Linked DNA regions of Xenopus tropicalis. The protein of the gene in region 2 interacts with the protein of the main gene of each other region in a pairwise test. Links are inferred from orthologs where the notes say so. Each region holds a gene or a part of one and is shown on either strand. Other genes may lie near its edges.

Region 1 (3,500 bases), about 120 Mb from region 2:
GAAAAAATGTATATAGAAAATACAGCCCTTACTGAAAGTTGTGACATTTGGATGAGAACTTAGTTTTAATTTACTGATTACACTGGCTGTGATGTTATAACTGGTTATAGTAAATCTGCTTTAAGGATTAAGTGGCACCATAATCAGTTAGAGTCAATCCAGTATGCAGTAGTCGATCAGCCACAGTGCTTTTGGGCCACCTGCAATATTGTCTTTGGGGCTAATATACTGCATGTTCAATGAGCCCCTAACATGGCAATGTTTAGCTATTGCTGCTCCTTATTGGACCAATTTATATGTGATACCTGTTTAAGTATATTCTAAGTATTATTCTATCCAATCAAAAAAAAATAATATATATATATATATATATATATATATATAAGAAGAACCATAGAGGAGCACTCCCAAAACTGATGTAGCAACTTCCCCAGGTGCTGGTAAATATGTTAAATAGAAAAACATAGTACCACACTCAATGGCAATACTTGTGAAAGATCAAAATTTATTGAATTTTTTTCAATAAATTTTGAGTTTGCACAAGTATTCCAGTTGAGGGCAGTACTATGCTTTTCTATTCTATACACATATGTGTTTGTCTTCTTTCTGTTAAGACCTTGAATGTCTCTGCCTGCCTTCATTTCATTCTAGTATCCAACATATACGGGTATGGAACCTGTCATCCAGAGAAAAGGGAATCATTTAACCATTAAATAAACCCAATAGGGCTGTTCTGTCCCCAATAAGGGGTAATTATATCTTAGTTGGGATCAAGTACAGGTACTGTTTTATTATTACAGAGAAAAAGGGAATCATTTAAACATGAAATAAACCCAATAGGATTGTTCTGCCCCCAATAAGAGGTCATTCTATGGGATCAAATAGAATGAATAGAACATGGGTAGGTTTTCATTTATTAAGCTCTAAACTCACATTTTATAAATCTGCCCAATAGTTACAAATGAATGAAATGATAATTGTATGCAGAAACCTGTAGAATTTTGCACTTCTTGGACATACCCCATGTTTTACTTAAAATGCCAAGACAACATTATATAATTACCTCCATAAAAAATAATTGTGTTGTGTAGAAGTAGCTGTGCATCCGCCTTGAACTCGTCGTAACTCTTGTATTTTCCTTCAGTCACTTTCTGCACAAAACAGGAATTTCGAGGAAGAAAGGTTAAGGGAGGGAGACTGCAGGCATTTTATCTACAGTGCAAAATCTGGCAATCTCTCTATGTACCACGGTTCTTATACTGCAACTGTCCTTACCTTTTTGTTAATAGGAGCACAATAAAAAGGAAATAATCTGTAGAAGACTGTTGTAGTAGCAGCCAAAAGTGCCTATACCTCCACAGTAACTGCTTAAGCCTTATTCTGCTATAATGTTAGTTTTATTCCACAAAACAAAATGTAAAGCACCAGTGTACACAACATTTACCTCATTAATAGTAGAAACATCAATGGTGGTATGAACTAAACGTCTATACATCGGATGCTTGCTATCCTTTCCTTTTTTATTGAGTTCAATCGCCTACAAAAATAAAGGGAATGATTTGTTTTTGAGATACAGAATGTACATACAATTTCAGGCATTTAGGTACATATAAAGCTAGAATACATAGCTTTGATTCATACCACTGCTCTTCCAGCCTTACGGCAGTCTAGAAGCTGAAAAGACTTACCCCCCATACGTACTAAAAGGCACAAAGTTTGCCGAGAAGCAGTAACCCATACAACGAATAAGATGCTAACTTTTTAAACAAATTATCCGAAAATGCTACCTGTTGATTGGTTGCTATAGGTGATAAGAAGTGTAGAAAACTTTGCTTCTGATATTACATTACCTCTCACAAACAGGCACTAAGTGTGGATTTTAGCAAAATACATTCGGAATATCCACCTGTTACACTACAGGATTTGGTTCAGGATTTGGGCAAGATTTGGCCTTTTCCAGCAGGGTTCAGCCATGCTCCTGGCCGAACCAAATCCTAAATATCACGTGACTTTTTTTTAACACAATAGCTGAAAGTTTTTCACTAAGTGCTGTTCATGGTCTCTTTAACCCTTCCTTTGCTAATTTACATATGCAAATTCGGATTCGGTTCAGTATTTGGCCGAATCTTTCACCAAAGATTTAGGGTTCAGCTGAATCCCAAAATTATGTATTCGGTGCATCCCTAATTTTAGATTTAGAACTTTAAAGACATATTCATCTGTACATGGACTTTTAGTAAGATTTGCAACTGGACTTTTTTTTTTTGGTTTTCAGATTATTTCTGATCACCTAAGGTGGGCGATATCTGATGGGAACAGAACCCATTGGTGTGAGGACCGCATCAATGAGTCGATGCAGCCCCCGATTCCAGAGGAAAATCAAACCTGCCTGATCAATATCTTCCCAATTATAGGCCAGATATTGGTCGGGTAGGCCTGTTGGGGGTGCCCATACTTGGGAAGATAAGATGCCGAACCGGTCTGAATTACCTGAATTAGCAGCTTAAATTTGCCCATGTATGGCCACCTTATCTTATTATTGGTATCAGCCAGTGGTTTGAATTACAGACTGGAAAATGAATAGTTAAGGGTTAAGATACAAAAGCAATAATATGACCCCAAACAAGAATTTCTGTTTTTTGAAAGGAACATATTTGTTTGAAAAGTGCAGAAACTTTGCTCTTGCTGTAATGGAAGTTATAATTATTTGCTGTATTAGAATGCAGATAACTGTTTCAGTTTACACTTGGTCATGCCTCCATTGCTTGTGGGAGCTGAGTTAGATAGTTTAGTCAGATGATTGAATTCTCTGTATTATGACCCTCAAATAATTTAGCCCAATTCCTGTGATTTCTCACTGTTGTAGTTCTGGAAAAAGTTGTGGCTAATAAATACTCCTGATGACACTAGCATTAAAAATAATATAAGCTGTATTTATTTGGCTCATTATACTGTAGGTGTGTATATAAATGGGGGGAACATTTAAAATCATTTTTAGTATGTTAGTAGGGAGTAGTATTCTCAGAATTTGTTTTCATTTATTGTTTTTGTGGATTTTTTTATTTTCAATTCTATGTGTTTATTGAATTACTCATCTTTTTGGTCTGAAGCTCTCCCCCTGTTAGGGTCCCACAGACCATAGCAACCTGGCAGGTGAACAGGGGAAGTGCTGAATTAAAAGAATTGCAATAAAAATCTAGCCTTAGATGAATTCAACTGATTTCTAGTTGTCGAGGTCCACCAAAAAAGCATTTTCATGTTCACATTTGGAAAGAGCAGAAGAAAATAAAATAATTATTAAAAAGAATAGAGACAACAGACTGCAAATTGACTGAGGATACCAATGTCAACCACCTGCAAGCACTAAAAGTAGATGAACTCCCAAGTTTATTTGTGCTAGTTTCTTCCGTTAATGCCATCATGATATACATTATCAGCATCATTCATTTGAATATAATGCTATTAAAGTGTTCTTTTCCCATTTTTAATGCAGATTAAAC
Region 2 (4,118 bases):
GCTGTCCCGGATAGTTCCATGAATGTCCCGCATTGCGGGACATTCATGGAATTATCCGGAACAGCGGGATACGCTTGCTGTAGCTGGATGTTCTTGCTTCTTCTGCAGCTTCGTTATGCGGCTCCTTGTGCAGAGGGACAGGCCCTTTTATAAGGTTGCGCCTGTGGGTGTGACGTCATTACGCACGGGGCCAACCTTATAAAAGGGCCTGTCCCTCTGCACAAGGAGAGCCATAACGAAGCTGCAGATGAAGGCTGCGCCTATGGGAGGTACTGTGAATGGGGGGCTACTGTGATAGGGGGACACTGTGTATTGGGGGACACTGTGTATTGGGGGGTACTGTGTATTAGGGGCTACTGTGTATAGGGGGCACTGTGTATGGGAGCTACTGTGTATAGGGGGACACTGTGTATTAGGGGCTACTGTGTATGGGAGCTACTTTGTATTGGGGGCTACTGTGTATGGGGGGGGCTACTGTGTATGGTGGGGCAAAACTGGTACTTAGTTATAACTCACTTATAACTGACTGCCTTCTCTCTATACTTGTATTTTAATGTAGGAGTTGCTATATTGTTTTCCTTAGGTCGTTCAGTATGAGGGTATAGCACATTTTCATCTGCGCCCGCCATTTGATCTATATAAAAGGGGTATTTTTTTTAAATGGGGTGTGGCAATTGGGGCGTGGCCAATAAAAAATTTTTTGTCCCTCTTTTCATTTTTCAAATGTTGGGAGGTATGATAAACAATAACCATGACTTTCCATGAATGTAAGTCATTTACTAAAATATCCAAACTGAAAAAGCATGAATGATAAAAAGTTGCTACAAAAAGCAAAAAAGGCCAAAAAAAAACTCTAAAACCATGAAGCAAAGAAAGCTTGAAAATTTGTCATTGAACTCCACAATCCCAAGTTTGTAGCTGATGTGTAAGATTGTTACTGTAACATACTGTTCAATAAACCTGAAATAGAAAAATGACTTCACTTGCACAAAACCTCCATTTTTGTTAAAATACGGAGAGAGGGTTCGAATAGCGGAAGCGACTGTGGACAACCTGGAAATAGATATTTTTTTTTTTTTTAATATCCTGGAATTGGTCGGAACTCTGAAGAGAAAATATAAATGGCTTCTACGGAAACATGGAGCTGAGGGGCTGGCGGGCAAGATAAGAAACCTACACGGAAAACAAATATTTTATTATTTTCTTTTTGTTCTCTAACTAAAGCGGGAGGCGGGGGCTGAGGCAAAACGGATTGTGAGGTGAGTAACCGCGGCTTACTACCGATTGTGTAAGTCTCAGTTACGCTGGATGGCCACACCCACAAGGCGGCTACGTCGTGCGTCACGGCGCTTTCCGAGCAGCCAGATCTCGCGAGATGAGACGTGCGGCCTCGGGATTTCCTGGCAGCCAGGAGGCTGGGAGCCTGCACTTAACAGTTTTGCAGGAGATGCAGGTAGCGTTCCGGGAGTGCGGGCTGTGCTAGGGAGAGTGGGGCTGGCGGGCAGTGTAGGGGGAACAACATGCCGGGGACTCTAGCAACTACTGTCCCTGCAGGTTACTGGCAATAGGGGGTCCGGTAATGTAAATAGGTCCAGCACAGCCGAGCCCCCCTACAACCTCAAACCCTCCCCCCCTGATGGCGACTCGGTGTGGGGCAGTCACTGCCCTGCTGGGCCAGTTATATAGCCAGTTATATAGCCCTTACTGACTGGCCTCCATCTCCCTAGGAAGCAGCACAGCAGCTCTACCCTCTCTGTAATGGCTCTGTCCCACTGCTGCAATACACACGGATATCAGTCCCTCAGGTGAGCTGCTTCTTACTGTGCAACACAGAATCTTATTGGTTATAAAACGCACAATTTAGGGAGTCATGTGATGCCAATGACGTCACTCAGCTGTATGGGTGATGACATCACTCTGTGCCCAAATACACACACACATATATATATATAGCTTTATAGATAGATATCTGAACTCCTCCCTGCACCCAGCAGGAGATTCATTGCTATATATATATCATTTATATGTGATTTTATTTTTTTTATTTGCATGATCTCTGCGTGTTCATGAATTAGAGTGCAGTGCTGTTTTCCCTATGTTTTATTCCTGACTGGAAAATATTTGGCCAAACTGGGCAGAGCTGTTGGAGGGACCCATACACTGGCCAGTAAGCCGACGGCCGAATCCCCGGGATTTATCGGCCGGTGTATGGGCCCCCCATGGCAGTTTGTTTTGGCCCATCATGGGATCGTTCCTGATTGCAGAGAGATATATAGAATCTGCACTTGCAGGTCTTTTATGAAACAGGACATATTTGCTTCCCAAGTTGTCACATAATGGTTTCACCCTTTGTGGAGAGGAAGGCGCCATTATGTCACTGAATTGTTGGAACACAAAATAAACCACCTGTCCCTGTTTTATAGAAGGGCTGTGAGTGCAGCGTTTGGTTTATTTACTTTATCCTGCTTTGTTTCTAACTGGTACCCGGGCGTTGTTTCCAGCTGGTACCCGGGCCTTGTTTCCAACTGGTACCCGGGCGTTGTTTCCAGCTGGTACCCGGGCCTTGTTTCCAACTGGTACCCGGGCCTTGTTTCCAACTGGTACCCGGGCCTTGTTTCCAACTGGTACCCGGGCGTTGTTTCCAACTGGTACCCGGGCGTTGTTTCCAACTGGTACCCGGGCGTTGTTTCCAGCTGGTACCCGGGCCTTGTTTCCAGCTGGTACCCGGGCCTTGTTTCCAGCTGGTACCCGGGCGTTGTTTCCAACTGGTACCCGGGCGTTGTTTCCAGCTGGTACCCGGGCGTTGTTTCCAGCTGGTACCCGGACGTTGTTTCCAGCTGGTACCCGGGCCTTGTTTCTAGCTGGTACCCGGACGTTGTTTCTAACTGGTACCCGGGCCTTGTTTCCAACTGGTACCCGGGCGTTGTTTCCAACTGGTACCCGGGCGTTGTTTCCAGCTGGTACCCGGACGTTGTTTCCAGCTGGTACCCGGGCCTTGTTTCCAACTGGTACCCGGGCGTTGTTTCCAACTGGTACCCGGGCGTTGTTTCCAACTGGTACCCGGGCCTTGTTTCCAACTGGTACCCGGGCCTTGTTTCCAACTGGTACCCGGGCCTTGTTTCCAACTGGTACCCGGGCCTTGTTTCCAACTGGTACCCGGGCCTTGTTTCCAACTGGTACCCGGGCCTTGTTTCTTGAAATTACAAAGCGCTGTCTTCCCTGTTTAGATGTACTGTATAGACACTGTATATGGCGATCAGGACAAATGAAAATCTTCATGGACACGAGTCCCATTTATAACAAATTATATATATATATTTGCAAACTTCAGGGCCTCATTTTGTCTATGTAGTGATTTCCCCAGCATGCTAAAACCTTAGGCTAATGTCACATTTGGTTCTATGATATCAGTGGCATCCGTCTGTCACTGTGAATGTGGGTCAGATTTCAACTCAAAACTACTTGTGTGTATATCAGAAGGGGTTATAAAAACAATCAACGCACCAGAGGCCCCCCCTATAGATTAGAGGAACGGAGCTTCCATTTCAAGCAGCGTCAGGGGTTCCTCACGGTGAGGGCAGTGAGGTTGGGGAATGCCCTTCCTAGTGATGGGGTAATGGCAGATTCTGTTAATGCCTATAAGAGGGGCCTGGATAAGTTCTTGAACAATCATAGTATCCAAGGCTATTGTGATACTAATATCTACAGTTAGTATTGATGTCCAAGTGGGATGTTAGCCTTAAAGGGGTTGGTCACCTTAAAATTAAGTTTTAGTATGACAGGCATTGATTTGCAGTTGGTTTTCATTTTTTGTGGATTTTCAGTTATTTAGTTCCGCAGCTCTTCAGTTTGGCATTTCAGTAGCTATCAAGTTTTTAGGGTTTTGTTTACCTTAGCAACCAGGCAGTGGTCTGAATTAAAGACTGGAATATGAACAGCAGAGGGACGGAATAGAAAGATAAGAAATAAAAAGTAACACTAATAAAATGGTAACCTCACAGAGCAATAGTTGCTTGGCTGCTGGGGTCAGTGACCCCCCCACTGGAAAGATGTAGAAGAGAAATAATTAAAAAATATATATAAAGAATAAGTACTAACATACTAAAAGTTAACTTAAA
Region 3 (4,286 bases), on a different chromosome or scaffold from region 2:
GTATATTCAGAGGTGCAGAAGATTTCTGAGCTAATTTTGAACTGAGTTGTTGAAACATACCATTGCCTTAAGGTCAGGGCCGCTCTTGCCATAAGGCAAAGTAAGAACCTTGCCTCAGGTGGCAGTGAGCGGGCAGTAATCTGGGATGGCAAAAAAAGCCCATTGGGACTCAATACTAGCCTACAGTGAAGTCAGAATTTTATGAGGCACTAACACAGGAGTGAAGGTTTGCCAAACAAAGGGAGCTGAGTCTGAGGTTTCAGAAGGAGCCAGCGCTACACATTAGAACTGCTTTCAGCTAACCTATTGTTTCTCCTACTCCCATGTAATTGGAGGAGTCCCAAGCTGGACTTGGATTTCTCACTATTTAGTGCTATTCTGATATATAGTGGGAGCTGCTATCTTGATGCTTCACATTGTTCTGCTAATTGGCTGCTGGGAGGGGGGTGATATCACTCCAACTTGCAGTAGTGGCTGCATTTCCCTCGGCTTATACTCGAGTCAATAAGTTTTTCCAGTATATATAGTATATATAGATGGAAGGATCTACTGGTAAATAAAGCATTCGAGAGATTATAGTGCCCTTATATATTCATACATAGTTCTCATATTCCCCCTTAAGGACTTCTATTTGCACCTTGGCCAGTCTTTCCACATAACGGAGTCTTTACATACCCTATATGTGCTTAATTGCCCTTCTCTGGAATTTCGCTATTTAATAGGGATGCAATATGGTGCTCAAATAGCTCCTTGTGCCAATATGTATAGGCTTGCTTCATAAAGAACATATCTAGTAAATGGCCTCTCTGCCTAACTTTGTGAAGGTGTGTGCTTTAGATGAAGCTCAGGACCCATGCTGACTATTGTGTGGCTAATCAGAGGGAAACAAACCTAACATCTGTGTGCAGTGCCAAGTGCCAGCTAGTGGCATATAGCTCCCAGATCTGCTGAAGTAAGAGATGGCGTTTCACCAGCTGGCAGTCTGATGGGGAAAGTCCAAATATGGCAGATACCAGGAGGAGACAACCAGCTTAAATCATATATGCCAACGGTAGGGCTGACTTTTGTTTCAGCACAATAATGCTGCTATGCACAAAGGGCCATACTGAATGAGTTTGTTTAGATGGGAGTGGGACTGGCCGGCACTGAGCAATATTAATCCCACCAGTAAGGGTTACAATAACCTGGAGAACCCACTACTCCACTATGCACCCACTCCAGAACAGTGTCAGTTGATTTTTGCCTGATCCTTCCCTAAGCAATTAGAGCCTTGCTTTCCAATGCCTTTGTGGTTAAAGAAGCCCTGTTATTCTGCAGTACAGTTGGCAGTGCTATGCTGATTTCTTGCATTTTCCACAGGTAAATTTGAGCCACCCCTTTTTCACCCGAATGTCTATCCTTCAGGCACAGTGTGTCTGTCTATCTTAGAAGAAGATAAGGATTGGAGGCCAGCAATCACAATTAAACAGGTATCATAAAGTGCAGATTCCTGTCCTTCTGTATAATACTGAACAGTTTGTGTTCTGCAATTAACTTTCTCTTTTTTTTTTCTATATAAAGATCTTGTTAGGAATACAAGAACTTCTAAATGAACCAAATATACAAGATCCAGCTCAAGCAGAGGCATACACAATTTACTGGTTAGTGTTTATGTATGGGGCATTTTTCTGGCTGGGATAGGGGCTGTGTATATGTCCCCTCTTCTGTAGTAATGTTACCCTTTACAGGCAAACAAATCACTGTACTTGATGCTAGCTTTAATACTGTCTATTTGACATTTAAAGGGCTGCTATAATTTTTTTGCATTCACATTGTATTTCACTACTCTAATATTGAGAACTGAGTTTTTTTTTCCAGTAGCTTTGTTCACCCAGGCTTATCAAGCTTGCCATTTTAGTCCTACCTAAGCTGACACCAGGTCTGGGCAAGGATTCAAAATAGGCCCTGGCATTTGAAGGACATGTCAACCCCAAAAATGTTTTGCCTAATAAAGGAAAACTTAATTCTAAGTAACTTTGAAATATACATTCATTACATATTTGTAATGGTTTTTGAGTTATTTGTATATATAGCTGCTATTAGAAGTAGTGTTGGTCAGTGCTTTTCTATTCCCTGGTGGCTCTGGTGTTTAAAACAATGTAACAAACGGCAGCAGATTTTACAGACCTGTCTTGCTGGAGGAGCCTGGCACTCGCAACATTGTTTAAAAAGTAACAACCGGGAGTTCAGCAAATGCTGCTTTCTGTAGCAATTACATTTACAAAAAAACCATTTAAAGCACTGATATTTTTTAATACATTGTTATTGGAAAGTTGCTTAGAATTATGTTTTTTCTTTTATTATGAAAAAAAAATATCTTTAGGGTTGACATTTCCTTTAAAGTACACAGAGGCCCAGGTATAGCCCCCCCCCCCCCCCCCCATAGGTCCAATGGAACTCAGAAGGGACTTATGATATCCTCATATTTTACAATGGGTATTTTATTTATTACCTCACATACTTGTGTGTGTGTGTGTGTGTGTGTGTGTGTGTGTGTGTGTGTGTATGTATAATATACTGTATATTCAGGGGGACATGAGGTTTGGGACATGACCTGTCAGGAAGCCAAAGATGGACTCCACCTCACAGAGGACATTTTCTGATACCCTGTATAGACAGGCTTCCATGGATGGCAACTCACAGAATGTGCAGGCAAAGTTGGGCAAGTCATTAAATTGACTGAACAAAGGGATTTAGTTTAAGGGTAGGGCATATGGGTGACCAGGTAGAGTATAGCCTGGGAAATTTGTCTTGATTCTTTTTTTTTTTTTTTATCTCCCTCCCACAGCCAAAACAGAGTTGAATATGAAAAAAGAGTCAGAGCACAAGCCAAGAAGTTCGCGCCATCATAAACTTCAACCTTGCAGCATCTTAAAATAAAAGGAAGGGATTGGTTTGGCAAGAACTTGTTTACAAAAAAACAATTTTTTTTGCAAAAATTGAATGATGCTAAATAGAATTGAAACTCTCACTTAGGGGAGGGGGTCGTATGTGTGCCATTTTCCATTTCCGCCACTTGTATAGAGTTCTAAATTTGCTGAATATCCCCCCCAGTTTTTTCATACAGGGTCTCTTCCTTCAGTCTTTTTGTATTTTGATTGTTATGATGTAAAACTTGCTTTTATTTTAATATTGATGTCAGTATTTCAACTGCTGTAAAATGATAAAACTTTTATACTTCTATAAATTCACTAGTAATCTCTAGTTTTCCTTTGCTATCTGATGCAGGCATGCTTTCAAATGTTTAGAACTATATCTAGCCTCTAGCTGGCTGTATTAAGAACAATGTCATAAATTCCACCCCCTCCCCTACCCCAAATTTCTTTTTACGTCTTTAAGAAACTAGGTTGCACCTCAACCTAGAGCCTCAGAGATTCAATGTCAGTCAGCATCTTGCTTCTGCATCACTTCCTTTGTTTATATGGCGTTTTGTCTGTGTTGCTGTTTAGATTAAATAAACTGTTTATATAAAGTTTTTGTTTCTTTATCTTTTTCATTAAGAGGACCACAAAGCAGAAGTGTTCAGGCTTGTAAACTGACATTGTGACATTTTTATTTTTTGTGTGAAATCTGTACATATATATATATATAAAAGAACTTTTTATAACTGTTCTATTCTTGCTGCGCCGTGAAAAGGATGAGCAAAACGATTGTAGCCCTGGCATCTTGATGTAGTTGGCTAACGTACTGTTGTCTTGTAATCTGAAATGCAGATTTAAATAAAACAGTTAGCAGTAAACCAAAAAACCTGGTAAGTATAATGATCTTTGTTTATAGATCCTGCTTTCGTATGAGCAATGTACTACACGAAATAATAATGCAAATAAAACAAGTCCATTGGAAGTGACATTTGTTAATAAACACTTGGTCTTCCTTATTTATTTACAGTGTTGTTGTTTTGCCAGAACTTCCATTCGAACGGGGGCCAAAGCAGTGTGGAATCCTGGGAAAGGGTAATTGTTCTATCAGGACTAAGGGTCTCCAGCAAGATCTTCCATTAAAAGTGCCACTTCATAGATGCATGCTCTCGTATTAATCCCTACAATTCACATGTAAAGGGGAACACATATAAAAACACACATTTTGATAATCTGCACCTTTCTTATGTTCCTGAACAGCTATTTACTGTCCCATGAAGCATTAGCTCCACTTCAGTTACCCCTCTAATTGGAAAAACTGACCCCACCACAAGCCAAGATTAGGCCTGTTTTCACACTCTAGAATGTTGCCTAATAGCAACCCAGAGG

The links.
Region 1: the proteins of zhx1 (region 2) and zmynd11 interact in a two-hybrid assay, tested with the Homo sapiens proteins (2 studies listed by BioGRID and IntAct). The link is inferred for Xenopus tropicalis from reciprocal best matches to the Homo sapiens genes ZHX1 and ZMYND11.
Region 3: the proteins of zhx1 (region 2) and ube2i interact in a two-hybrid assay, tested with the Homo sapiens proteins (2 studies listed by BioGRID and IntAct). The link is inferred for Xenopus tropicalis from reciprocal best matches to the Homo sapiens genes ZHX1 and UBE2I.

The regions. Positions count from the first base shown.
Region 1 is NC_030682.2:18,849,523-18,853,022, reverse strand, and holds part of zmynd11 (zinc finger MYND domain-containing protein 11), read right to left. Parts: intron 1,538-3,500; coding exon 1,445-1,537; intron 1,152-1,444; coding exon 1,064-1,151; intron 1-1,063. UniProt on the Homo sapiens protein: Chromatin reader that specifically recognizes and binds histone H3.3 trimethylated at 'Lys-36' (H3.3K36me3) and regulates RNA polymerase II elongation. Does not bind other histone H3 subtypes (H3.1 or H3.2).
Region 2 is NC_030682.2:139,794,573-139,798,690, reverse strand, and holds the start of zhx1 (zinc fingers and homeoboxes protein 1), read left to right. Parts: upstream 1-1,318; 5' UTR 1,319-1,453; exon of another isoform or gene 1,454-1,805; intron 1,806-4,118. UniProt on the Homo sapiens protein: Acts as a transcriptional repressor. Increases DNMT3B-mediated repressive transcriptional activity when DNMT3B is tethered to DNA. May link molecule between DNMT3B and other co-repressor proteins.
Region 3 is NC_030685.2:28,773,312-28,777,597, reverse strand, and holds the end of ube2i (SUMO-conjugating enzyme UBC9), read left to right. Parts: intron 1-1,359; coding exon 1,360-1,469; intron 1,470-1,560; coding exon 1,561-1,640; intron 1,641-2,827; coding exon 2,828-2,891; 3' UTR 2,892-3,786; downstream 3,787-4,286. UniProt on the Homo sapiens protein: Accepts the ubiquitin-like proteins SUMO1, SUMO2, SUMO3, SUMO4 and SUMO1P1/SUMO5 from the UBLE1A-UBLE1B E1 complex and catalyzes their covalent attachment to other proteins with the help of an E3 ligase such as RANBP2, CBX4 and ZNF451.